Macaca mulatta: one gene and its partners. The protein of the gene in region 2 binds, or shares a complex with, the protein of the main gene of each other region. Links are inferred from orthologs where the notes say so. Each region holds a gene or a part of one and is shown on either strand. Other genes may lie near its edges.

Evidence for each region.
Region 1: MED26 (region 2) and MED13L share a complex: the UniProt entries of both Homo sapiens proteins name them as parts of the mediator complex. The link is inferred for Macaca mulatta from reciprocal best matches to the Homo sapiens genes MED26 and MED13L.
Region 3: MED26 (region 2) and MED31 share a complex: the UniProt entries of both Homo sapiens proteins name them as parts of the mediator complex. The link is inferred for Macaca mulatta from reciprocal best matches to the Homo sapiens genes MED26 and MED31.

Annotation. Positions count from the first base shown.
Region 1 is NC_133416.1:123,524,760-123,532,737, forward strand, and holds the start of MED13L (mediator of RNA polymerase II transcription subunit 13-like), read right to left. Parts: upstream 4,143-7,978; 5' UTR 4,122-4,142; coding exon 4,050-4,121; intron 1-4,049. UniProt on the Homo sapiens protein: Component of the Mediator complex, a coactivator involved in the regulated transcription of nearly all RNA polymerase II-dependent genes.
Region 2 is NC_133424.1:17,071,337-17,079,308, reverse strand, and holds MED26 (mediator of RNA polymerase II transcription subunit 26), read left to right. Parts: upstream 1-3,647; 5' UTR 3,648-3,729; coding exon 3,730-3,831; intron 3,832-3,983; coding exon 3,984-4,058; intron 4,059-4,720; coding exon 4,721-6,376; 3' UTR 6,377-7,490; downstream 7,491-7,972. UniProt on the Homo sapiens protein: Component of the Mediator complex, a coactivator involved in the regulated transcription of nearly all RNA polymerase II-dependent genes.
Region 3 is NC_133421.1:8,130,483-8,138,682, reverse strand, and holds the start of MED31 (mediator of RNA polymerase II transcription subunit 31), read left to right. Parts: upstream 1-4,058; 5' UTR 4,059-4,158; coding exon 4,159-4,186; intron 4,187-4,972; coding exon 4,973-5,050; intron 5,051-5,330; coding exon 5,331-5,427; intron 5,428-8,167; exon of another isoform or gene 8,168-8,200. Other genes in the region: C16H17orf100 (uncharacterized protein C17orf100 homolog), read right to left, coding at 3,397-3,774. UniProt on the Homo sapiens protein: Component of the Mediator complex, a coactivator involved in the regulated transcription of nearly all RNA polymerase II-dependent genes.

The sequences.
Region 1 (7,978 bases), on a different chromosome or scaffold from region 2:
TACATTAACAAACTGTAAATATTTTCATTACAGAAAATGACAGCTGGGTGCAGTGGCTCATGCCTGTAAACCCAGCACTTTGGGAGGCTAAAGCGGGTGGATCACCTGAGGTCGGGAGTTCAAGACCAGCCTGATCAACATGGAGAAATCCCGTCTCTACTAAAAATACAAAATTAGCCGGGCATGGTAGCACATGCCTATAATCCCAGGTATTCGGGAGGCTGAGGTAGGAGAATCGCTTGAACCTGGGAGGCAGAAGTTGCGGTGAACTGAGATCGCGCCTTTGCACTCCAGCCTGAGCAACAAGGAGAAACTCCATCTCGAAAAAATAAAAAATAAAAGGAAAGAAAATGAACCATCATAGGAAAAAAATGCTTTAAACATAAATTATAAAATCACAATGAACTTGTACAAAAAAATACCTTGTGTATTTTAGCACTTTGAAAATTAGAGAAACCATTCCCTTTTCCTAGTTTGCCTTTTATAGTCCACCCTATTCTAGCTCAAAAAAAAAAAAATACAGATTTCGAAGTTTCTACATTTGCAACTGTCTTCCCTTTCTGGGGAAAAAAAAAAAAAAAAAACGCTTAAGACAAAAAGAAATTAGGTCAACAATAGATTACCTTAAAAGCTTCAAATATAGAATTAATAGTCTTCAATAGGAATTACGGACTAATGGGTGTACGAGTGTCTCAATCCAGCAAGAATTTGAGATTATCACCCAATTATCCATAGTCAGGAAGATTCTAAGCAAATAAGACATGAAAGTGGAGGATACATATCTAAGAATTAGAGATCACTCCCTCGTATCAAAGAACACATACTTAAGTCTAGTTAAAGGGCACAAAATCACTTTCTCCGTATTAACTCAATAGAGAAAAATACATACTTAACATCCAGAAACCAGGTCTTCTCGCAAGAATGAGTTCACATACCACAGGATGCCCCGTTACACTTTTCAAAAAGGCAGATTTAACACACTTTGAACGATTAACTGAGTGAATATATGAAAAGTCACCCAGAAATGTGATGGACAGCATAAGAGAATAGTTTTGCGTCAGACAGGCAGAGCCAGGCATGCACTTAATGCAGCAGCTACAAATCTCACGGTTAGAATAAGAAACACATACAATCACCCATATCGTATATACACAAGGGCATTTTTCACACGTTAGGAAAAGGGAATGGATGTTGAAAAATTAATTTAGGAAATTTGATTCCATGCAATAAAAAATCAGAAAATTAAGTAAAAGACTAGCAGAAATCTTAAGGTGTCTGATTGACTGCGCAATCAACTTTTGGTAAGCCATAATGAACACCTCAAGGTAATGGAAACTGGGTGTTATTACCATGGTACAGAACTTTAATTTCTTATTTCAATCTAAGTAATGAGAGTATTTAGGTAAATTCTTTATAAATACTTTTCTCTGCTTTAAAAAAAAAAAGAAAAAAAAAATCTGCAGGCCAAAAGAAAAAAAATGCAAGCTATGATTAAACCATAAAGCGTTCTTATAAAAAATATGCTTTATTTTGAACAAGGGATTAGATCTCCTTCAGAAATAACTATTATATACAATGTACTTTAGGCAACATACTTTTAATATTCCAGGTTGCTGCTTCTGTATAGCATTTTCAAAAAAAATATCAATTTGGAATCAGAAAAATGTACAAGTCAGCAGTTTAGATTTCTTTAATAGCACCTTATCCACACTCCATGTACAAGACAATGAAGACATTCTACATTCCTTTCAAAAAAAAAAAAAAATCAACTAAGCATTACTACAGTTCTCTATTTCAAAGTTGCTACTTAAAAAATAATTATTTTTAAAAGCATATTCAAAAATCAATCCTTTGGTTTAAAGAGGTTTAGGGGAGAAATATCTGAAACACAAACCTTTAGTCAGTCAAAATCAAAGTACAGAATCCTCTCCTACAAAACTGCCTCTCCAAAAGAATCTCAAGCATGTTATCTCTGTAACGTTATCATTCTTACTTAAGCTTTAAAAAAAAAAAAAAAAAAAGATAAAAGAAATGATATACCCTAAAAGACTGGCTATACATACACTTTCATACGTCTACACAATCTGTATATACACAATCATTACCAGTCAGCATAATATATGATAATTTGGGAGATCTCTCTATTTGGTTATTTTAATTACCTGTGTCAATGTGATCACCAGTAACCACACAAAAACCATTTTAAGTACCCCTTGATCAATATGTTTGCTAATCTGTGAAAGTCCCTGAACCTGACTGATACCAAATGATAAGACTGAGGAGGGAAAAAGAAGGGGCAAAAGGGGGTTTTACTCCCACATACCAAAAAAATCAAGGGAAAATTATCAAAATACTAAGAGAAAGAATTCCAACTTATAACTGAATTTTAAGATGAAATATCTGGATTAAAATATTTCATTTAAAAAAATTTACCTGATCTTACTAGAGTGGGATCAATGATACTATGTCACTCGGTCTTTGTAGGTAAAAATCGCGTGTGTTGATTTTTTGGTCTGCATTGTAACACATTTAATAACATAATACTTTCATTTGAAAAGTTGGCGAGAATTTGCATTTCTCCATTAGTCTCATAGCAAAAAAGCATCTAGGCCACCCATAATTAAATGTAACTAATTACAATTTGAACACTAAATTATTTATCCAGTGTAAACAAGGATTAAGAGGGAAATGATGCTTCTATCTACAGCGGGGGTTACAGAAAATAATTTCCAAAATGTATGTTCTCCAAAAGGGACTCACCTCCCCCTAAAAAAACCAGGGTACACAACTAAGTTGGGTGTTTTTAAGGATAAATTAAATAAACTGTTCAGCCAATTTTCCAATTATATTCTACGCTTGAAACGTAATTGCCTTATATCTGTTTACAAATCTTTGCTCAATATTTAAACAAATTCGTACTCTCCTGGGCACATAGCTATACATACAGTAACTCATGCACAAAGCACATATTTAAAGACCACGCACTGCAATTATTAGCCTAAACGCCAGGTTTAACAACGTGAATGTTTTCAGAGGTAGGTAATACGACCCAATAAAAAGCAAAGATGGCATTTACCACCAAATGTCACTGCCACCGCCAGGAAAGAGTTGCTGGAGCCCTATACATTTTTAATTTCGATGAATCTAGACGCCGTCGGCGGGTGCCAGGCTTCCACGAGAACAATTGACACCCTAACTGCTTCAAGATTAAGGCAGGCGATTCAAATCCGAAGGAAAAGTTGTCAATTATCAGAGAGAGAGCGCGAGAGAGGCGAAAGCAGATAAAAGCGATGTTATCAAACCGCCCAGCTTGTTGCTTTTGTGTGTGTGTGTGTGTGTGGATTCGTTGTTAGGACAGATAAAACAGTTTTTAAAAGACACAGAAGGAGAGAAAGAAAAAAAAGCTTTCTCCACCTTCCGTCGGCTCGGTGCAATGGCTTTACGGCTCTCCAGCGTAGTAAGCCCCGAGAGGCAAGCGGCTGTCGATGTTTACAATCGCGGGAGCTTCGGGTGCAAGAGTCCTTTCCTGACACAATCGCATTCAATCAACTGTTTTCGGGCGAAATTGCAGGTGTCATTATGGAATTTAAAAAAATTCAAAAGGCAGGCGGGCGGGCGGGCGGGCAGGCAGCCGATCCGACAACGGGGAAGAGGTTGCCGATCGGAGGCGCGGGCAGCACAAGGCAAAGCCTTCCACATTTAGGGGGGAAAAAAAGGGGGGAAAGGGGAGGAGAAGGGGAGTGCAATTGCAACAGAGGGTGGGCGTTCGAAGTGCGACCCAGAATCCGCAGCTCCGAGACTTCCACATGCAAATTCCACGCCGAGCGCCGCGCTCACAAATGATTTTTAAAGAGCCAAATAAACACTGGATGGGATCCAAGGCGAGAAAGAGACGATCCAAAAGGGGGAGAATCGGCGAGAGGCGAACGGCGGGGAGACGCGAGGGAGGGGCGAAGTCCCGGCGGCGGGAGGAGAAAGTTGGTCGGCGGCGGAGGTCGGGGAGCCCCCCCTCCCCGACACAGCCCCCTCCCCGCAGCCCGGCTACTCACCAGCGAAAAGAGGTTGGAGTGACAATCCTCCAGGCTCGCCCCGTTCGCCACCCAGTTCGCTGCCGCAGTCATGATCCTCCGCGAGCCCGGCCGCCAGAGCGGGGCATGTCGGAGCGAGGCGTCCGAGGCGAGGCCGGGCCGGGCGGCGGCGCCTCGCCGGGGAGCGCGGGGCGGCCGGGCCGCCGCCGCCGCCGGGGGAGGGCGCGAGGGCCGGCGGGCAGGCGGGAGGCGCCGCGGCGACGCCGCGCCGGGGGCGGCGGGCCCGGGCTGGCGGGGGGGTCCGCGGCGGCCGCGCGGCTCCTTCCTGCTCGGGCGGCGGCGGCGGCTGCGGCGGCTTCGGCGGCGGCGGGGGGCGCTGTCCGTGCGGCCCGGCGCCCACCCCGCCTCTCAGGGCCGCCGCTGCCTCCCGGGCCGGCGCTGCGGGCCGGCCGCCGCCTCCGCCTTCCCTGCTCCTCAGCCGCCGCCGCCGCTGCCGCCGCCTTGTTTATCTCCAGCCACCGACTCCCCCTCGGCCCCCGCCGGCGCGCGAGGGGAGGCGAGCCCCGGAGCCGCCGCCGCCGCCTCGGAGCCGCCGCCGCCGCGGAGCGCGAACTCGCGAAGGGGGGGGTGCGGACGAAGCCAGCGGGCGACCCCGGCAGCCGAGCGACGTCCCCTCCTTCCTCTTCCTCCCCCACCCCCCCCTCCTCCCCAGTCAGCCTCGCTTCTCCTCCCTCCCCGGGCTCGCTTGCTCTGACAGCAATGGCGGCCGCCGACCGCGGCTCGGCCCGCCATTGGCTGGTGCCGGGTCACGTGACGGGCGCCGGCCGCGCGGGGGGAGCAGGGGGCGGGCGGGGGAGGGGTCCGGAGTGGCGGCGGCGGCGGCGGCTCGCGGGAGGCGCTGCTGAGCCGAGCGCGGCCGGGTCCTCGGGCCGGGAAGAGGGAGGGAGGGAGGCGGAGAGGGAGAGAAAGAAGTGCAGGCGGCCGGGCTCCCCGGCGGGCGGCGGACTGCCGGCCCGTGGCTGCCGTGGGCTGCCCCTCGTGGCCGCCCCGCCCCCTCGCGGTGCACTGATCGTGGCGGGGCGGGACCGTGGGTCCGGGGCGGGACCGTGGGTCCGGGTCGCGCCCGTGGCGGCCGCGGAAGCGGGCGCGGGGCCCCCGGCCTGTGTCCCCGCAGCCCAGGCCGGCTGGCGTGGCGCGGCGGCCGCGCTGTGGACCAGGCAGCGGGTCCGAGTGCTCTGGGAAGTGTGTGTCTTCGGAGGCTCGCGCCGCCGTCCGCCTTTTACAGAGAAAAAAAACTGAAGCACAAAGGGATTAAGTCACTTGCCCGAGGTCGCACACCTGGGAAGAGGAGTCCAGATTCGAACCCGCGCACAGTGAAGCCAAGCTCTTGGACTAGGTTTCACAGTCTTTGCCCAGGGATATTCACGGCTGCCACAGAGGGAGCGCTTACTGTGTTCCAGGCACTGTGCGTTTAATACAGAAATGTGTATTGAGCCCTTTCTCCTAGTTACTGTGTGCACTCATTCATTCATTCATTATATAAATGTTTCCTGAGCTCCTACTATGTGCCAGAATCTATTACAACTTCCAGGCACTGTGCTAAGGCCGTGTTGGGAGCAGACCCTTCCTCTTGGCGTTATTCATTCAATAACCAACATTTCCCGAGAGTATATGACCTGGGTGTCCGGAGGAGTGCTGCTGTGAAGAGAGGCTCTCCCAGTCCTCAAGAAACGGATCCCCAAAAAGGTGGTGAGGAGAAAACAATGTCTTCACTAATAAGCCTCCAAACATGGAACAGCTAGCTGTTTCAGGCAGATTAAACTAAAAGAGGAAGAGTCGATGGCTAGCATAGTGGCTCACGCCGGTAATCCTAGCCGAGGTTTAACACCAACCTGAGCAATGTAGCAAGACCCCCGTTGCGACAAAAACAAAAAAAACAAAAAACAAAAATTAGACAGGCATAGTGGCATGTGCCTGTAGCCTTAGCTACTCCAGAGGCTGAGGTGGGAGGATGACTTGAGCCCTGAAGGCGGTGGCTGCAGTGAGCCCAGTGAGCCCCGAGATCGCATCACCGCACTCCAGCCTGAGTGAGAGAGGCCCTGTCTCAAAAAAAAAAAACAAATAGGGGAAGAGTGGAAAGCAGGGAAGAGATGAGAGTGCATAATAAAAGGAGAGAAGTCTTAGACACGTGAACTTAGCTCTGGAACTACCACAAAAATTGATCCTGATTGCTGGCCCTTGGGAGGTAATTAGCATAAGGGTGGAGCCCCCATGATGGAATTAGTGCCCTTATAGGAAGAGACACAAGGGAGTTTGCTTCTCTCTCTGCTAAAGACTCATGAGCAACATGTTATAATGTGTATTATCATGCAACGTATTGTTACAATGAATGTCCTTACCTACATTATTTCACATAATCAGCAGAACCACCACCTAAAGTAGATACTGTTATTATTCTTAGGCTGTAATTAGGTAAAGCTCAGAGGTGTGCAGTGACATTTCCAGTCTCTCAGTGCATGGCTCAAACCCAGGTCCATCTGACTCCAGAGCCTGACCGTAAATTCAGGAGGCTCCTTAGAAAGATGCCTCTGGCTGGCTTTGCCATCACTCTAATTGCATTACTTTGACCAACATAGTTTAAGTCTTTGAGCTTCATTTCCTAACCTGTCAAAAATTGATCCTGATTGCTGGCCCAACAACCTCAGGCCAATATTGAGAATTTCTGTTAAGATACTGTTGATGGTCGGGTGCAGTGGTTCACGCCTGTAATCCCAGCACTTTGGAAGGCCAAGGTGGGCAGATCACCTGAGGTGAGGAGCTCGAGACCAACCTGGCCAACATGGTGAAACCCTGTCTCTACTAAAAATACTAAAAATACAAATATTAGCCGGGTGTGGTGGCGTGTGCCTGTAGTCCCAGTTACTTGGGAGACTGAGACAAGAGAATCGTTTGAACCCAGGAAGGAAGTGGAGGTTGCAGTGAGCAGAGATTGTGCCACTGCACTCCAGCCTGGGCGACAGAGCGAGACTCCATCTCAAAAAAAAAACAACAACACTCTGTCAACATACTAACATACTTGTTACTTAGGCCTGAGCAATACAGGGGTATAATGCCCGTCATATCCAGGTTCCATATATTTACATCAGAGGTGAAGGTGGTTTTGTCCTACTCACCTGGTGACCAAATTGTCATTCTTCAGCAGGTTTAGGTTTAAGTAAAAATAATAATAGGCCAGGTGCAGTGGCTCACACCTGTAGTCCCAGCACTTTGGGAGGCCAAGGCCAGTGGATGGCTTGAGTCCAGGAGTTCAAGACCAGCCAGGGCAACATGACAAACTCTCGTCTCTACAAAAGATACAAAAAATTAGCCGGGTGCACACCTGTAGTCCCAGCTACCCGGGAAGCTGAAATAGGAGGATCGCTTGAGCCTAGGAATTTGAGGCTGCAGTGAGCCATGATCTTGCCACTGCACTTCAGCCTGTGTGACAGAGACCCTGTCTCGAAAAATCAAATAATAATGATAAATCTTTCAGAGCAAAATCTAATAGAAACATGAACAAAGGACTTAGACAGTTTACAGAATAGAGAAGACCAGCTTTTAAATACAGTCATGTATTGCATTTTGGGCAACAATGGACCACATATATGACAATGGTCCCATAAGATTATAATACCATATTTATACTGTACTTTTTCTAAGTTTAGATGTGTTTAGATACACAAACACCATTATGTTACGACTGCCTACAGTATTCAGTACAGTAACATGCCGTACAGGTTTGTAGCCTAGGAGCAATAGGCTAGACCATTTAGCCTAGATGTGTAGTAGACTATCTCATCTAGGTTTGTGTAAGTGCACTCTATGATGTTTGCACAATGAGGAAATCACCAATGTTACATTTCTCAGAACACATCCCCATCACTGACACTTGATTGTATATAAAATGATAC
Region 2 (7,972 bases):
TCCGGGCCAGTCCCTTTGCAGGGATTCCTCGCTGTATTGCTCAGTGTCTGCCTCCTGGGCCTGGGAGGCCTATGTCTGGAATGCCCAGGTGGCTCTCCCTACACAGTGCTCAGGCTGCTTGACATCAAGACCCCAGAGGTCGCAGGGCAGGACAGTCTCATCTTGCCTCCGTCCTTAGCTCTGCTGACATCACTGACTGCCTTCTGCTGGCTCCAGGGAGTGGCCGCATTGGGCACTCACCCTCTCTCTGTGTCTGACACAACATACATTTAATATCTCAGGCTCTAGGGCTCAGAAGTCAGGTCCAGTCTCATTGGGCTGGGATCCAGGCAGCAGCGGGCTGTGCTCCTCTCTGGAGGATCCGTTTCCTGCCCTGCCAGGTGTTGGCAGAGTTCATCTGTTTACGGCGTAGGATTGTAGGTTTCTAGCACCTTACAGGTACAGCAGACGGGCTCCTCTACTCCTCAGGTGAGCGGCTCACATGCTGGGGACAGAAAGGGGACTGCCAAGGATGTAGCATTTCCCTTGGGGCTCCTAGAGGCTCAAGGCCTCTCTGCACACACTTAAGCATGGTTCATGAGGCAGGGGAGGGGCCAGGGGTGAGGATACCCAGTCACAGGGCCCTCAGACCTTCGCCTGGTGTCCCCAGCTCCCACACAGCTTCCAGGAGACTCTTGGGGCTGGCTGTTGGTTCAGCAGTGATTTCTGGGGCACCAGCTCAGTGCCAGACCCTGGGGTTGCCCAGGTGTTCTGTCTCCTCCCTCCTTTCTGGCAGCAGGATGGTGTCTGCCCAAGGACAAGGACACTTTGTGCCACTAGGCTAGCTGGGCCTGGGCAGTGTTCTGCTCTGCAAGGACTGCTGCTTCAGGAGTATGTGGGGAACCAAGGCTCCAAATATACCAGGGTGAGGTCAGCAGGGTGGAGGTGAAGCCATGTGGCAAGCCCAGGGACTGAGTCGGTGCTGGAGTGCCTGGGCCAGGGTGTGGTTGGCCTTGCTATCTGTCTGGGACTGGCCTCCTAATGGCGCAGTCCTCCCCTGCACTGATCCCTGCCCATTGCATGAGGAGTGCGGACAGGACTGCATCTCCTCTCTCATCACCCACCCACCCCCACCATGATGCAGCTTGAAGCAGGGTTTTCAGGGTCATTTGGAGCCCTGAATGAGAACATTGCAAGGCAAGGCCGTTGTTGCCAAGGAGCAAATGGGCCCATTGGCAGAGGGGCAGCTTTGTGGGAGCTCTGCAGGGACTGCTGTCGTGGCTCTGTGGTCACTCTGCAACTTTACACCCAGAGGAGACAACACAGGGGAAGGGAGGGAGGGGCAGTGGCTGCCTTGCCCTGGAAGTGGGGCAGAAGAGTAGAAAAGCCAGAATCCATGAGGCCAGCAGAATTAACAGCCCTCAAGGACGTCCACATTCTAGTCCTGGAGCCCAGGCATGTGGTACTGAACATGACAGATGTGACTAAGGGAACAGTCTGGAGATGGGGGGGATGATCCGAGATCATCTGAGCAGGCCCTGCCTAGTCAGGGAGTCCTTAGAGATGGCACCTATCTTGGCTGGGTCAGAGAGATGCCGGGCGAGAACTCGGCCTGTAGCTGGCATAAGGGGAGGGGCTGTGAGCTGGATGCAGTGCCCTCCAGAAGCTGGGAATGGCTTCGGATGACAACCAGCAAGAAAATGGGCCTCATTCCTGCAGTGTAAAGAGCTGAACTCAGCCAGACGCCGTGGCTCACGCCTGTAATCCCAGCACTTTGGGAGGCCGAGGAGGGTGGACCACCTGAGGTCAGGAGTTCCAGACCAGCCTTCAACATGGTGAAAGCCCCATCCCTACTAAAAAAATACAAAAATTAGCTGGGCGTGGTAGCGGGTGCCTATAATCCCAGCTATTCGGGAGGCTGAGGCAGGAGAATTGCTTGAACCCAGGAGGCGGAGGTTGCAGTGAGCTGAGATCATGCCATTGCACTCCAGCCTGGGCGACAAGAGGAAAACTTCGTCTCAAAAAAATAAGTAAGAGCTGAACTCTGCTAACACCTGAAGGAGCAGGAAATGGATCCTCCAGAGAGGATCCCAGCCCAGTGAGACCGAGACCTGACTTCTGAGCCCTAGAGCCTGAGATGATAAATGTGTGCTGTGTAAGATGCTGAGTTTACAATCACGTGTTATGGAAACTCATGCCACGCAGTCTTGGCAAGGATGTGGCCTGGTGGGAATGGAATGGAGCAGCCTCCCTGGGGGCGAGGTGACCACCCTGCATGGATGTGAAGCCCCGGCTCACCCGCGGCTGTCTGTGCATTAGCCCAGAGTCAAGTCTGTCACTGCCGTCAGTTGCAGCCTTGTTTTGTAATGGCGAACAGAAAGTGCCTAAGTGTCCCACAACATTCAAGTCGGGCCTTCCCCACTCTGGAAGGGATGGTGAGCCAAATGAGGGGCTCTGTTTGAGGCTGGACATTGCTGATGTTAAGTCAGAAAAGGCAAGAACCACGGTCAGTTTGGTTTTGAAATATGTGACAAGTGTAGATGTATACGCCTGCATACACAAGGGATATTTTTGGAAAAAAATGCAAGGTAATGCTACAGTGGCTGGGTCAGAGATGCCCATTTCCTTGTGTGCCCTTTTACGCTGTTTTAATTTGTATCATGTGCCTGCTTAACTCCTTTATCATGTTGGGGTGGGGGTGGGGGGGAGTTGTGTAATCTACTCACTGTGGTTTCCTCAGGGCCCCTGGGTTCCCGCCTGCCAGCCAGCCCACCAGAAACCTGTAGCTGCTGGAGGTGGCGGTTGAGCGGTAGGAATTCTTGTTGTAACAATTAAAGGAGTTAGTAATGTGTGGGAAGTGCTTAGAACAAGGTGTGGCTCCTAGCAAGATCCTAAAAGGGTGGGATTACTCGGTCATAGGATGTGTTCATGTTTCACTCTGCCAGACAAAGTCCAGCCGTTCCCAAAGTCGGCTGTACCCCCAGAAGTACCTAGTATTGTCAGTGGGGTGCGTGTATCATATATCCATTTGTGGGTTCAGTTTGAGTTTTCCTAATTATTGATAAAGCTGAGAAGCTGAGCATTAGCGCTGACATTTCATTGCACAGTGCCTGTTCCTGTCTTGTAGCCACTGTGCGCTGGGTTCCTGGTCAGCTGCACTGCTGCACAGGCATTCTCTGTGTGTTCCAGATACAGCTCCTTGGGGCTTGTGGTCTATGCCTTCTCCCACTTTGTGACTTTCTGCTCTCTTTATGGTGTCTTTGGATTCAAATCGACTGGTTTATTATGTATTGAATTTTTTTTTTTTTTAACGGAGTCTCGCTCTGTCACCCAGGCTGGAGTGCAGTGGCGTGGTCTTGGCTCACTGCAACCTCTGCCTCCCGGGTTCAAGCAGTTCTCATGCCTCAGCCTCCCGAGTAGCTGGGACTACAGGCGCATGCCAGCACACCCAGCTAATTTTTTTATTTTTAGTACAGATGGGGTTTCACTGTGTTCGCCAGGCTGGTCTCAAAACTCCTGATCTCGTGATCCGCCCTCATCGGCCTCCCAAAGTGCTGGGATTACAGGCGTGAGCCACCCGCGCCCAGCCTATGTATTGATCTTTTAAGCTTTGTGGATTTTATTCGATGAATTCTTCAGTGTCTCCTCTCCCACTCCCATCAGATGGCAGAGTAGAGGTCATTTTAAGTATCAGGAGCAGCTCTTGTTTCACAAGCATCCTGGGTTTCAGCAGGTGGGTGGATATGTACCATGTACACTGGAGGGTTTGGAGCAGACCGCACACCACACACTGGAGGAGGTCGGACAGCGGGTGAGGATGAGCACTGGGCGCCAGGTTGGCCTGGGGAGCAGGTAGGAGACTACATGGAGTGGGGGCTTCAGTGCTGCCAGCTCCTCTTGCTCTGGGGTTGGGGAGAGACTGGAGCAGGCTGGGGTAGGGTGTCCCTGCCTCCCAGGGGAGAAGGGCAGGAACCTGACAAATGGCTTTTTCTTTATTTCCACAGATCCGGAACATGGTGGCGGTGCTGGAAGTCATCTCCAGCCTGGAGAAATACCCCATTACCAAAGAGGCACTTGAGGTGAGTATCCCAGACCCCAGCATTTGGGAGTGCAGAATGGGGGACAGGGGACGGCACCAACCCAGTTCCTTCCCCAGCTTCTAGGAGCGTGTGTCTTTGCTTCAGAGGACCAAGAGAGGCGGTGTGCCCTCACAGCTTGTGCCCCGTGATCTTGCTCTCCTGTGGCCACTGCAGTGACCAAGTGGCATTAATCCCATCCTACCTGCCCAGCACACTTCATGGGCACGTGGGCACGTGGGGACATGGGGACATCAGGAGAGGTGTGCTTGGGGGAGGCTCCAATGAGAGGCGCCGTCCCCAACCCTCCACTTGAAGCAGACCCTCTGTGCTGCCGCCTTGGCCACAGCACCCTCTCATCCAGAAAGCCTCCCTGGCAGTGTCCTTACAGTGGCCTTGACAGCCCCCTGGCACCAGGAGCCTGCGGGACAGCACTGCTGAGAAGCCACCTGGGACTCTGAAGGTCTGGGGACTAGGTTTGAGAATTTATATTGTCACAAAGGACCGGAAATCCCCAGGAGTTTTGTGCCAGGGAGGCTGGCAGTTTAGGGCTCAGTGGGAACCAGGTCATTTCATTGTCAGGGCCATTTCCCACCATTTCTGGCTCAGCTCATGGGGAAGTCCCTGTCCCGAAAGTATGTCATCATCTCTCTTTCTGGTTGTAGGAAACACGACTTGGGAAGCTCATCAACGACGTCCGCAAGAAAACCAAGAACGAGGAGCTCGCCAAGCGGGCCAAGAAGCTGCTGCGGAGCTGGCAGAAGCTCATCGAGCCAGCGCACCAGCATGAGGCAGCGCTGCGGGGGCTGGCGGGGGCCACTGGCTCTGCCAACGGGGGTGCACACAACTGCCGGCCGGAGGTGGGGGCGGCTGGCCCGCCCAGGAGCATCCATGACCTGAAGAGCCGCAATGACCTCCAGAGGCTGCCCGGGCAGCGGCTGGACAGGCTGGGCAGCCGCAAGCGCAGGGGTGACCAGCGTGACCTCGGCCACCCAGGGCCACCACCTAAGGTCTCCAAAGCTAGCCACGACCCCCTGGTCCCCAACTCATCCCCCCTCCCTACCAATGGCATCAGTGGGAGTCCAGAGAGCTTCCCTGGCTCCCTGGATGGCAGTGGGCATGCAGGCCCAGAGGGCGGCCGCCTGGAGCGTGGCGAGAACGACAAGCACAGTGGCAAGATCCCCATCAACGCTGTGCGGCCGCACACCAGCTCCCCAGGCCTGGGCAAGCCCCCTGGACCCTGCTTGCAGCCAAAGGCTTCGGTGCTGCAGCAGTTGGACAGGGTGGATGAGACTCCGGGGCCTCCCCACCCCAAGGGGCCCCCTCGCTGCTCTTTCAGTCCTCGGAACTCACGGCATGAGGGCTCCTTTGCCCGGCAGCAGAGCTTGTATGCACCCAAGGGCTCCGTGCCCAGCCCCTCACCGCGGCCCCAGGCGCTCGATGCCACACAGGTGCCGTCACCGCTTCCACTGGCACAGCCGTCCACACCCCCTGTACGGCGGCTTGAGCTGCTGCCCAGTGCGGAAAGCCCAGTGCGCTGGCTTGAGCAGCCGGAAAGCCACCAGCGGCTGGCGGGGCCGGGCTGCAAGGCAGGGCTGTCCCCAGCCGAGCCCCTCCTGTCCCGGGCGGGCTTCTCCCCAGACTCCTCCAAGGCGGACAGTGACGCTGCCTCCTCAGGGGGCTCGGACAGTAAAAAGAAGAAGAGGTACCGGCCTCGAGATTACACGGTTAACTTGGACGGGCAGGTGGCTGAGGCGGGCGTCAAGCCTGTCCGGTTAAAAGAGCGGAAGCTCACCTTTGACCCCATGACAAGACAGATCAAACCTCTGACCCAGAAAGAGCCAGTGCGGGCAGACAGCCCTGTGCACATGGAGCAGCAGTCCAGGACAGAGCTGGACAAGCAGGAGGCCAAGGCCAGCCTCCAGAGCCCCTTTGAACAGACGAACTGGAAGGAGCTGTCACGCAACGAGATCATCCAGTCCTACCTGAGCCGGCAGAGCAGCCTGCTCTCATCGTCGGGCGCGCAGACCCCGGGGGCTCACCACTTCATGTCTGAGTACCTGAAGCAGGAGGAGAGCACCCGGCAAGGGGCCAGGCAGCTGCACGTGCTGGTGCCTCAAAGCCCGCCCACAGACCTCCCCGGGCTGACCCGGGATATCACACAGGACGATCTCGACAGAATCCAGGCCAGCCAGTGGCCGGGGGTGAACGGGTGTCAGGACACACAGGGTAACTGGTATGACTGGACGCAGTGCATATCACTTGATCCGCACGGCGATGACGGGCGCTTGAACATTCTGCCTTATGTCTGTTTGGACTGACCGGCCCGTCAGCCACGAAGTGCATTCCCATCTTGCAGAAGCCGGGCGGGCGGGCAGGCAGGTGGGTGGGTGGCCGGGGCCCAGCTGCCTCCTGCACTGGGAACTCGGGGAGTCCGGCCCGGGCAGGAGGGAGGGGGCGGGAGTCACGCGGTCTCTCTGCACTCTTCCCTCAAAACTCTCCTTTTGTGAAATGCTGCTACCAGTTTACTAACAAAATTGCGAAGGAAGGACCGCGTGGAAGGAAGGACGGCAAAGTGAGTTCAGAACTCTATAGCAAACCAGCTATAAAAAGCGTTAGTCCCTCACCCCTGAAGAGGTGCGGACACTTTCCAGCACCTGAAAGCTGGGACCTCAGTTGCAGGCAGGCACAGAAAACCTGTGGAGAGGTTACCTTTAACACAGCAACAGAAGCACGCATCTCATCTCTCTTGCATTTTCTGTTCTTTAATTTGGCCCTGAGTGTCTGTGAGACAGTGGGCCATGCTGCCTCTGTTTGCTCCCTACCCAGCCACTGTCAGGTCAGTGTTGTCCGTCATGTGCCAGAAGCTTCTCAGCTGTGGTGAGCCACTGGCATCGGGCAGGCGGGCCAGCTGGCCAGCCAGGGTGACCCACACTCCATGGGCAGCCACCTGTTTATATCTGGTTTCAGTTATAACCCCGTTTTTAAAGAAATGCTGCAAAAATTTAAGTTTTTTCATGTTTATTTTAACAACTCCTTCCATCAGACCACCAGACAAAAAAAAAACCTTTCCTTTCTTCCTCCCTTTCTTTTTTCCCTTCCTGTACACATCTAGAAAACTTCACCTTTCTAGAGTCCTCCCAAAACAACACAAAAGTGACTGTGGGTGCTACTGGTTTTATGCTGTACTGTGGGGCGAGGGGGAGACCTGTCTGTACGCTGGAAACACTCATAACCATTCCTTTAGATTCGTTTGCCTTATGGTTATTTGTCATAAACGCGATTTGCAAAAACAAGGAGCCTTAGTGAATGTACAGTACCTAGACTTCTGTGTTCTCAGGACGCAGAAGGGAGCAACTTTGCTATTTGGTCCAGTAAGTGGACACCTTGTGATATAAATGTGGAAATAAAAAAAAAAAAAACCATTTGCACAAACCAGTCTGAGAATCTTTTCTCATTTGGACCTTCACAGCCAAATCAGCCCTTTCCTGGATTGTAGATTAGCCAGAAAAACCTAGACCCCAACAGCCGCAATGCAGGGAGACAGGACAGGGCACTGTGCTTTGAAGTCCACCTGCTAGCCTGCTGCTGCATTTGGGAGGACCTTCACATTTTATTCATTCAGGGCCACATTAAGGAACGTTATCTTGTCTCACCCAGACTTTACCTGGCCTAGAGAGCAGCCCTCCGTAGGAGGCTCCATAGCATAGGTCTCAGTGACTACCCCCACCTTAACAAAATACCAGAGACTTAGAGCTGTGTGTGTGTGTGTGTGTGTGTGTGGCAGCCCACCCTGTGGCCCTGGCCCCCGGCTGCCTTACTAGCTGGTGGTTGCTGACTCCAAAAAAAATAGTTCTCCCTTGACTATAAAGTGATCATCTTTTAAGTTCCCCCTCTTCCCTGAAACTGTAGGCTAA
Region 3 (8,200 bases), on a different chromosome or scaffold from region 2:
AACAGCGCAAGCGGTTGAAACAGTTTTTTAAAATAGAGAAAGCGGGAGGACCCACGGCCGCTCGGGTGACCGCTGAGTTTCCAGACAAGGGAGCTCTGGGCAGTGAGGGGCGCACAGGAGCATCTCCCCAATTCCAAGGAGTTCAGGTAGCCGGAAATTTTATTAAGCGCTTTACTGTGTGCCACTTGCGTGTTTTCTGTCCAAATCAGAAAAGGATTTGGACAGAAAACAGGCAGGAAGAAGGAACCAACGCCTGGTACAGCAGGCAAGCGAGGCAGGGGTAGGACTTATGCACGTGTATGCAAGCCTGGATGGCTGGGAAGCCAACCTCCATGTAAAGGCAAGCGCGGTCACACAGATACACACACACGCCTCACAAGCTGGATTGCAAGAGAGGGTGAAGTGGGCGAGGAGACCCAGTCAGCCGTGGCATTTGAGGAAGGTACATTTAGGCCACCGAAATTCATTCCACCAACTTTGCACACTTGTCTTCCTTGTGCCACGCTCTGGGACTCATTCCTTTTGAGGGTAAAAGTCTCTGCCTCCCTGGGCTCCTGCCCCACAGGCGCTCCCACAGCCCGGCACCGCCCCCTCGCCATTCCGGAGCCAGCGCCAGCTGAGCGGGCCTGGCCGGAGCCACCGTCCCCTTACTTCTCCATGCCTCGGGACCCGGAGAGGGAGCCGTGGTTTCCGGAACTTCTCACACCCCTCCAGGCTTTTCCTCTGTTGGGCAGGTGACGAATCGGTGTCTTTGCTTGTTATGGCCCCTGCCATCGCCATGGAGACAGGTGAGTAGCGCTCTGAGCCTGGAGTCTCCGAAGACAGAGCTCTCCTTGTCACAGACCGCTTCTTCCGCTTCCCCGGGGCCTCCTTCCAGGCCTCACTCTCGGCAGGGTTAGTATTTGGACAGGGAGGAGAGAAGGCTCTTGTAGCATCTAGAAAGGCTAAGGTACTCTGCAGTTTTGCTAATTTGGTTTGTTCGCACATCTTTGCTATTCAAACACGACCCCACCAGCTTCCCAGCATGGGTGAGACTAAGGGAGAGGACTTGTGTCTTAAAGCATGTCCTCCTTGTGTCTTAAAGTGTGTCCTTGATTGGTTTTCTGCTTCTCATATGAGCTTGCATACGTTTGAAATATCGTCGCCAGACTTGTGTATCATTCTGCTACTTGTGCTTCTTACATATGATATGCTCCATCATCTTTTAGGCTCTTTGGAGTCTCTTGTTCAGTTTGCATCCTAAGTTTTTCTTAACTGACTCAGCAGGTAGCTTTTGCAAAACTTAATCACTGTTAACAATTGTTACAATGCATTATTAAAATAGGGGACGTCACAGTTATTACAGCCTACCTTAGTGATCACTGTTAAAATTCCTACACAGTGGCCCACAAGTGGTAGGTATTGTGTCCGATTTGTGCTGCTGTTTTCTTTAATGATTTCTCTTTACCTTTAAAGTCAACCCTCTTCCATGACTGTTTCTTAGGTCTCACTACAATCCTGCTATGTAGAAGTGGCATGCTGTCCTAATGGACCATGCTCTAGCTTTCCAAGCTGCTAGAACTGTGTTTCTCAGCCTCGGCACTATTGACATTTTGGGACCAGTGATTCTTCATTGTTGGCAGAGGGAAGGGTGTTGACCTGTGCACTGTAGGATATGAGGTGGCATCCCCAGCCTCTACCCACTAGGTGCCAGTAGCACCTAATGTGCTACCCACTCCCCCTAACTTGTCTACCAAACTAAAATGTCTCTAGAGGTTGCCATATATCCTCTGGGGTCAAAATCACACTTAGTTGAGGACCACTGTCCCACATAAAATGTAAATGGCATCATATCATTCCTCTGTTGAAAACCCTTCAATGTTTTCCTATTGACCTTAGAATAAATCTCAAATTCCTTTCTGTGGCTTAGAAGACCTTCTGTGGACTGGCCCCTGCTTGCTTCTAACTCCTCCCTTCAGTTCTGCTTCCATGTCTATATAATCGCCTCTCTCTCCCTCCAGCCACACTGGCCTTCTTTCTGTTCCTTGAACATTCAAAGCTTGTTCCCTTCTAGCTTTTGTATTTGCTGTTCTTCTGCCTAGAATGCACATGTTCCAGATCACTGTTCATTCACACATATCTCAGATTAAATGTTACCTAATCAGCAAGGACTTCCCCGACCATTTTATCAAAAGAAGCCTCTTACTTCCATTCTCTATCACATGACCCATATATTTCCTTCATAGTGCTAATCACAATAGAAAATTGTCTCGTTTTGTCATTGCTTGTCGGCCTTTTCACCAGAGTGTAAGCTCCACTACAGCTGGGACTTTGGTTTTTTTTACTGCTATAGCCCAAGTTCCCAGAATACAGGCAGTCCCCAACTTAAGATGGTTTGACTTATGATTTTTCGACTTTACAATGGTACAAAAGCGACCAGGAGAAATAGTACTTTGAGCACTCATACAACCATTGTTTTTCACTTTTAGTACAGTATGCAATAAATTACATGAGATATTCAACATTTTATTATAAAATGGGCTTTCTGTTAGATGATTTTGCTCAACGTTAGGTGTTCTGAGCATGTTTAAGGTAGGCTAGGCTAAGCTATGATGTTTAGTAGGTTAGGGATATTAAGTGCCTTTTCAAATTACCGTATTTTCAACTTACAATAGTTTTAATGGGAGGTAACCCCATTGTAAGTGGAGGAACATCTAGTACCTGGCACAGAGCAGGTTCTCAATAAATATGACTCTTCTCCATCTTCTTCAAACCTCAGACCAGGTTTCAATGGCCTCCTCTCACTTTCTCTTCTAAGATTATTTTTGCTTGCTGGTGGGTTTACTGTCATTTTTAACTACATCTAACCTACCTTTAAAAAGTGTATGGATGGGAGTGCCAGGTACAAAGACTTAGCATAAAGAAAACCACCAGTTACCTTGAAACATAAACAAAGGCCATTAATAATTTATGAGTCTGTTCCTTGCCCCTCAAGTTTCTAGCAGGCATGGAATCATTCCACAGGTCATGATTTCAGTTTGGTCTCTGTTCCTAAGGGGTGAAGGTCTTCTGAGGGCTGTGGATCCCAAACTCACCTGGCTCAGAGGCTCAAACAGCCTCTTTGTCCATCAAGCCAATTTAGACAGCATCCTGGGCATGAAAATCTTTTGTGCTGGCTTCAAGTGAAAATAGTTCACTGGGTCAAAAGTAGGCTGGTCCAAGACGCAGGATGGTCAATAAACGTTGGCTGTGTTCAGAAACTGCGGCTTGGCTGTTTCTTCCATTGATTTATGGTTTGTTTCCATGAAACCGAAAATGATTGGTCCACCTGGCAGCTGGCTGGCTGGCTGGCAACTGGAGGCCTTTCTGTCCTGGCTGAGGGCCCTGGCCCCTTGGTGGCCTTTGGGAAGCAGCATCTCATCGGGCCGGTTTTTCGTTCTGGCGGGCGGCCGGCTTGGCCCGCGGGGCTGGGCTCTCCGCGCAGTGCAGAGCCGTCTCCACCCTCAGGGACGAGGCCCTGATGTGGCGGGACGTCGTTTCCGTGCGCTGCGAGGAGGATTCCACGTGCCGGGAGGACGCCTCGAGGATGCCAGGGAGCCGCTTCCCCAAGGGGGAGAGGGAGGGCCCCTCGCTGCGGCGCTGGGAGGTCTCCACCCGCCGGGACGACGTCTCCACGCGGTGGGACGAGGTCTCCACACGGTGGGACGAGGTCTCCACGCGGACTGTGGACGTCTCTGTGTAGCGGGTGGTCCCCACCCGGGGAGAAGACTGCTTGGCCCCTCGGGCTGAGGCCATTCTGCCGGCGTGAGGGGGCCAAGGAGGCCTCGGGGCACCCCCCAGCCCAACGGTCACCGCAGGCAGAAGAGAGGAAAACTACGGTACTGCCATAGCCGGGAGCGCCACAACACGATGACGTGGAAACACCATGATCCTTCCAAGGCTAAAAACACTGGGCTCCTGCCCCTCAGGCGCTCCCACGGCCCGGGCCCCGCCCCCTCGCTATTTTGGAGCCAGCGCGGGTGGAGCCATCCCAGGGCTGGCGGGATGGGCGGAGCCGCCCGGCCCCATATCCCACAGTGCCCCGGGACCGGAAGAGAGAGCCGTGGTTTCCGGAACTTCCCCCGCCACTCTGGGCTTTTGCTCGGTCAGGCTGGTGGCGTTTTGGTGTCTTCGTTTGTTATGGCCGCTGCCGTCGCTATGGAGACAGGTGAGTAGCTCTCTGATCTTGGAGTCTTCGCAGATGGAACTCCCCTCGGTCCAGACGGCTTCCCCGTGGCCTCCTTCCAGGCCTTACTCTCGGCAGGGTTAATATTTGGACAAGGAGGTGAGAAGGCTCTTGTAGCGTCTAGAAAGACTAAGGTACTCTTTGCAGTTTTCCTAATTTGGTTTGTTCGCACATCTTTGCTATTCAGACACCACCCTACCAGCTCCCCGGCGTGGGTGAGACTAAGGGAGAGGACTTGTGTGTTAAACCGTCTCCTCCTTGATTGGTTTTCTGCTTCTCACATGAGCTTGCCTAAGTTTGAAATATCGTCGCCGGACTTTATGTGTCATTCTGCTACTGGTGCTTCTTATATGCATACGCTCCATGATCTTTTAGGCTCTGCGCAGTCTCTTGCATCCTAACTTTTTCTTAACTGATTCAGCACGTAGCTTTTGCAAAACTTAATCACTGTTAACAATTGTTATAACGCATTATTAACATAGGGGAAGCCATAGTTGTTACAGCCTACCTTAGTGATCTTAGGAATTCTCCGTTTGTGTTGCTGCTTTCTTTGATGATTTCTCTTTAATTTTAGAGAAACTTCTAACTCCTTTTAATCAGGGCTCCGCTTTTCTTAGATTTCGAAGAAAGGTTTATCTCCCCCAACTCCCAGTTTAGGAAGACCATCTCGGCATTAGTCAGGTTTCTTTATTGCTGTTTCCTTACTACAAATCAGTATTATATACAGTGACCCTTACTTTCCATGATTTTTGCTGTCTTGTCTCCTAGATGATGCTGGAAATCGACTTCGGTTTCAGTTGGAGTTGGAATTTGTGCAATGTTTAGCCAACCCAAATTACCTTAATTGTAAGTTGTTAAGCACCTCATTAAATTGAGTAGCTACTAATGATTTCTGACAGAAGAGTTGCAATTCAAAATAGTATCTACTTTTACACATTCTCAATTGAATGACATTACACTTATGCTGGTATATAGATATAATTGCGCACTGGGATTTGTGTTTTGAATTCAATGTGTGTTGGTGGTGGGGGTTTTATGTAAATAGATCCTTTACATTAGGGGTAACAAAGCATAGTTTAAAGATTGGTTTGACCTACAGACATTTTTTTTTTTTAATGCTTTTCAGTTCTTGCCCAAAGAGGTTACTTCAAAGACAAAGCTTTTGTTAATTATCTTAAATACTTGCTTTACTGGAAAGACCCAGAATATGCCAAGTATCTAAAGTAAGTTTAATTTTTATAATCCTAAGCATGTGTATACTTTATGATATGATAGATTTCTTCGTTTCACATTGGCAAAAATGTATTTGGAATCTCTCCACTTCTTTTCGTTGTCACCATCTTAACACAAGACACTCTCATCTCTAACTTGTATCACTGCAGTAATCTACTCCCTGGTTATCTCTGCTTCCACTTTTACCTTCCTGCCCCCCCCCCACCCCAAACCAAACCAAGCAAAACAGCTTTCTACACAGAAACCAACTTAGTCATTTAAAAATATAAATCAGAACACTTTACTTTCTTGCTTAGAACCTTTCCATGACTTTCCATACCATGCAGAATAAAATCCAGTCTCTTTTCTTGGGCTAAAGCCCTATATGATCTGGCCCTGCCTTGTCTGACCTTGTCTTTCACCACCCTCCCCATCTCACCAGGTTTCTGGTCCCGAAGAACTCACAGTCTGTAAATGAAGTGACATAAGCCATGGGCTGAAATTAAAAGAGGGTATCTGTAAGGAAGGTGTTTCTGGGGTTATTTGGAGGAGGTGATGTTAACCTGAGTCTTAGAGTTGCTATCTTTTATTTAAGGCCTCTTATGTGCCAGAAACAGTGCTAAATGCTTCATATGCATTAACTCATTTATATATATATATATATATATTTACCATTCAGGTCATTCAGCGACACTTTTGTGTTAAGGCTTACTGAATTGCAAGAAGCATATAACCACAAACCTATTCCCTTTTAATGATTAAAAAAAAAAAAAAAAAAACACCTTGAACTCATCCCTGCTTTGTCTTAAGCAGGTAGAAAGCAATAGTGAACCTTAAAAAAAAAAAAGTTTGAGAGGAAAATGTTTCAAACTTGTTTCGAAGTCACTTTTCTGTGTCCAATAACAATTGACTCACGAAGCATATACATCTTATATTGCCTTCAGGACCCTTTGCACCTTTTCTGGCTTTTTATCCATTTAATAATCCAAAGAAAAGACTTTTAAGAAAAATAGATTTCAACAAATGTTGTATGTATGTAGATTTACAGACTCAGTGTTGGAAGCCTTAGCCACCAACAAGTTTAATCTTACCCAAAACGTTGCCGAGAGATGGTCATCTACACTCTGGAGGTTTTCACTGAGCCCATGTTACTCTGTCAGGGACAGCTGATTTGATTGTTAGCCAGATGTTAGAAAGTTATTCCTTATATTGTGATATAATGTCTCTCCTTGTAGCTCTAGTCTGATTGTAGTGTTATCCTTCATCTATCTGCAGTCACATGAAGTCTATTTGTCCCACTACTGGTGACATTAATTTTGATAACTTGGTTGTCCCTGGATTGAGCTAGAACCATTCTATACCCTCTTGAGGACAACAACCTTCCAGATACTTACATTCAAGAGAGATTGCAGATTAGCCCCTTTTGGGCATTTTATTCAGTCTGCAGAAGATTTTAGTTTTTTTTTTTTTTTTAATACTTGCCAACATTTGAAGATCAGAAAGTTTTATATAACAAATGCAGATTTCCCGCTACTCTTTCAAATCTGGAAGATCTAGTAACCATAGATCTTAATTCTCCCAAGTCAACAACTGGCTGAAGCTGAGAGCAGCTGTCACTACTAGCTGCTTTCCAGCTGGTGGAAGGGACACTTTCTACCACTTGGCCTGCTTCGTTGGTAGCCAGTAGGTGTCACTATAACATCTCTCTCCATCTGTGTTTCTCAACTACCCTCAGCCGTTGTGCCGTGGTGTCCCGGAGTTCAGGTTCCCTCCGCTGGATGTTTGGCAGTGGTACTTTATGCAGTTCAGCCAGGAACTAAACACAGGCCTTCATGTGTGGTCAGAGTACAGTGGGCCAGAGGTCCTTTCTTTTCTTCACGTGGACATATACCTTATGTTACTTTTGAGGGTGGGGGTGGGAGAGGATCACATTGTTGACTTGCTGGGAGCATTACGTCAATTAAAATCCTTCAGTTATTTTCATCAATGTTCTCCCTATCTTGTTTATTTTTAAAAACACCGAATGTGGAACTTCCCTTTTATACTGCCGCTGTTTCATCTTGTGGACATGTAGCCTATCAGAGTACGATTCTTTACTGTCATCTAATGTATTCTGATGTAATCACTGCATGTCTGAATTCTAGTTACTGACTAAATGCTGCTTGAGACCATTCTCTTGGTTGTCACATTATTTTACAGTTGAAGAAACTGAACCTTAGGGAGGTTAAGTACCTTGTTGAAGGCCACCCGGCTGGAACTTACATCCTGGTTCATTTTAACTACTAATGCTGTCATGAAAGGGAGTTAGCCAGGGCAGGTGTGAATAGAGCATTCTAGCATAAGCAACCAACAATTAGAGCAACTGTGTATTTTCATTGCGTAGATAGCAAACCTTTAATGTCTTGGAAGTTACTATCTTAGAAGCATGTGTTAAGCCCTCTATTCAATGTGGTGTTCACATCATCAGCATTGGTTTCATTTGGGAGCTTTTTAGAAATGCAGAGCTCAGGCCCCACTCCAGGCCTAAGGAATCCATCAGCATTTTAAGAAGTGGTTCATATACACATTAAAGTTTTAGAATCATTGCTGTAGTATCCTATTTTCCACACTTGAGTCATTTGCATATCACTTGTGCAACTTTGGCTTTATCTGCTTTCTTCCTGAAGGGGGCCTGCCTCCCCACACCTGTGGTATTTCTCGTCAGGCGGAGACCAAAGACTGAGAAAAGAAATAAGACACAGAGACAAAGTATAGAGAAAGAACAGTGAGCCCAGGGGAACAGCA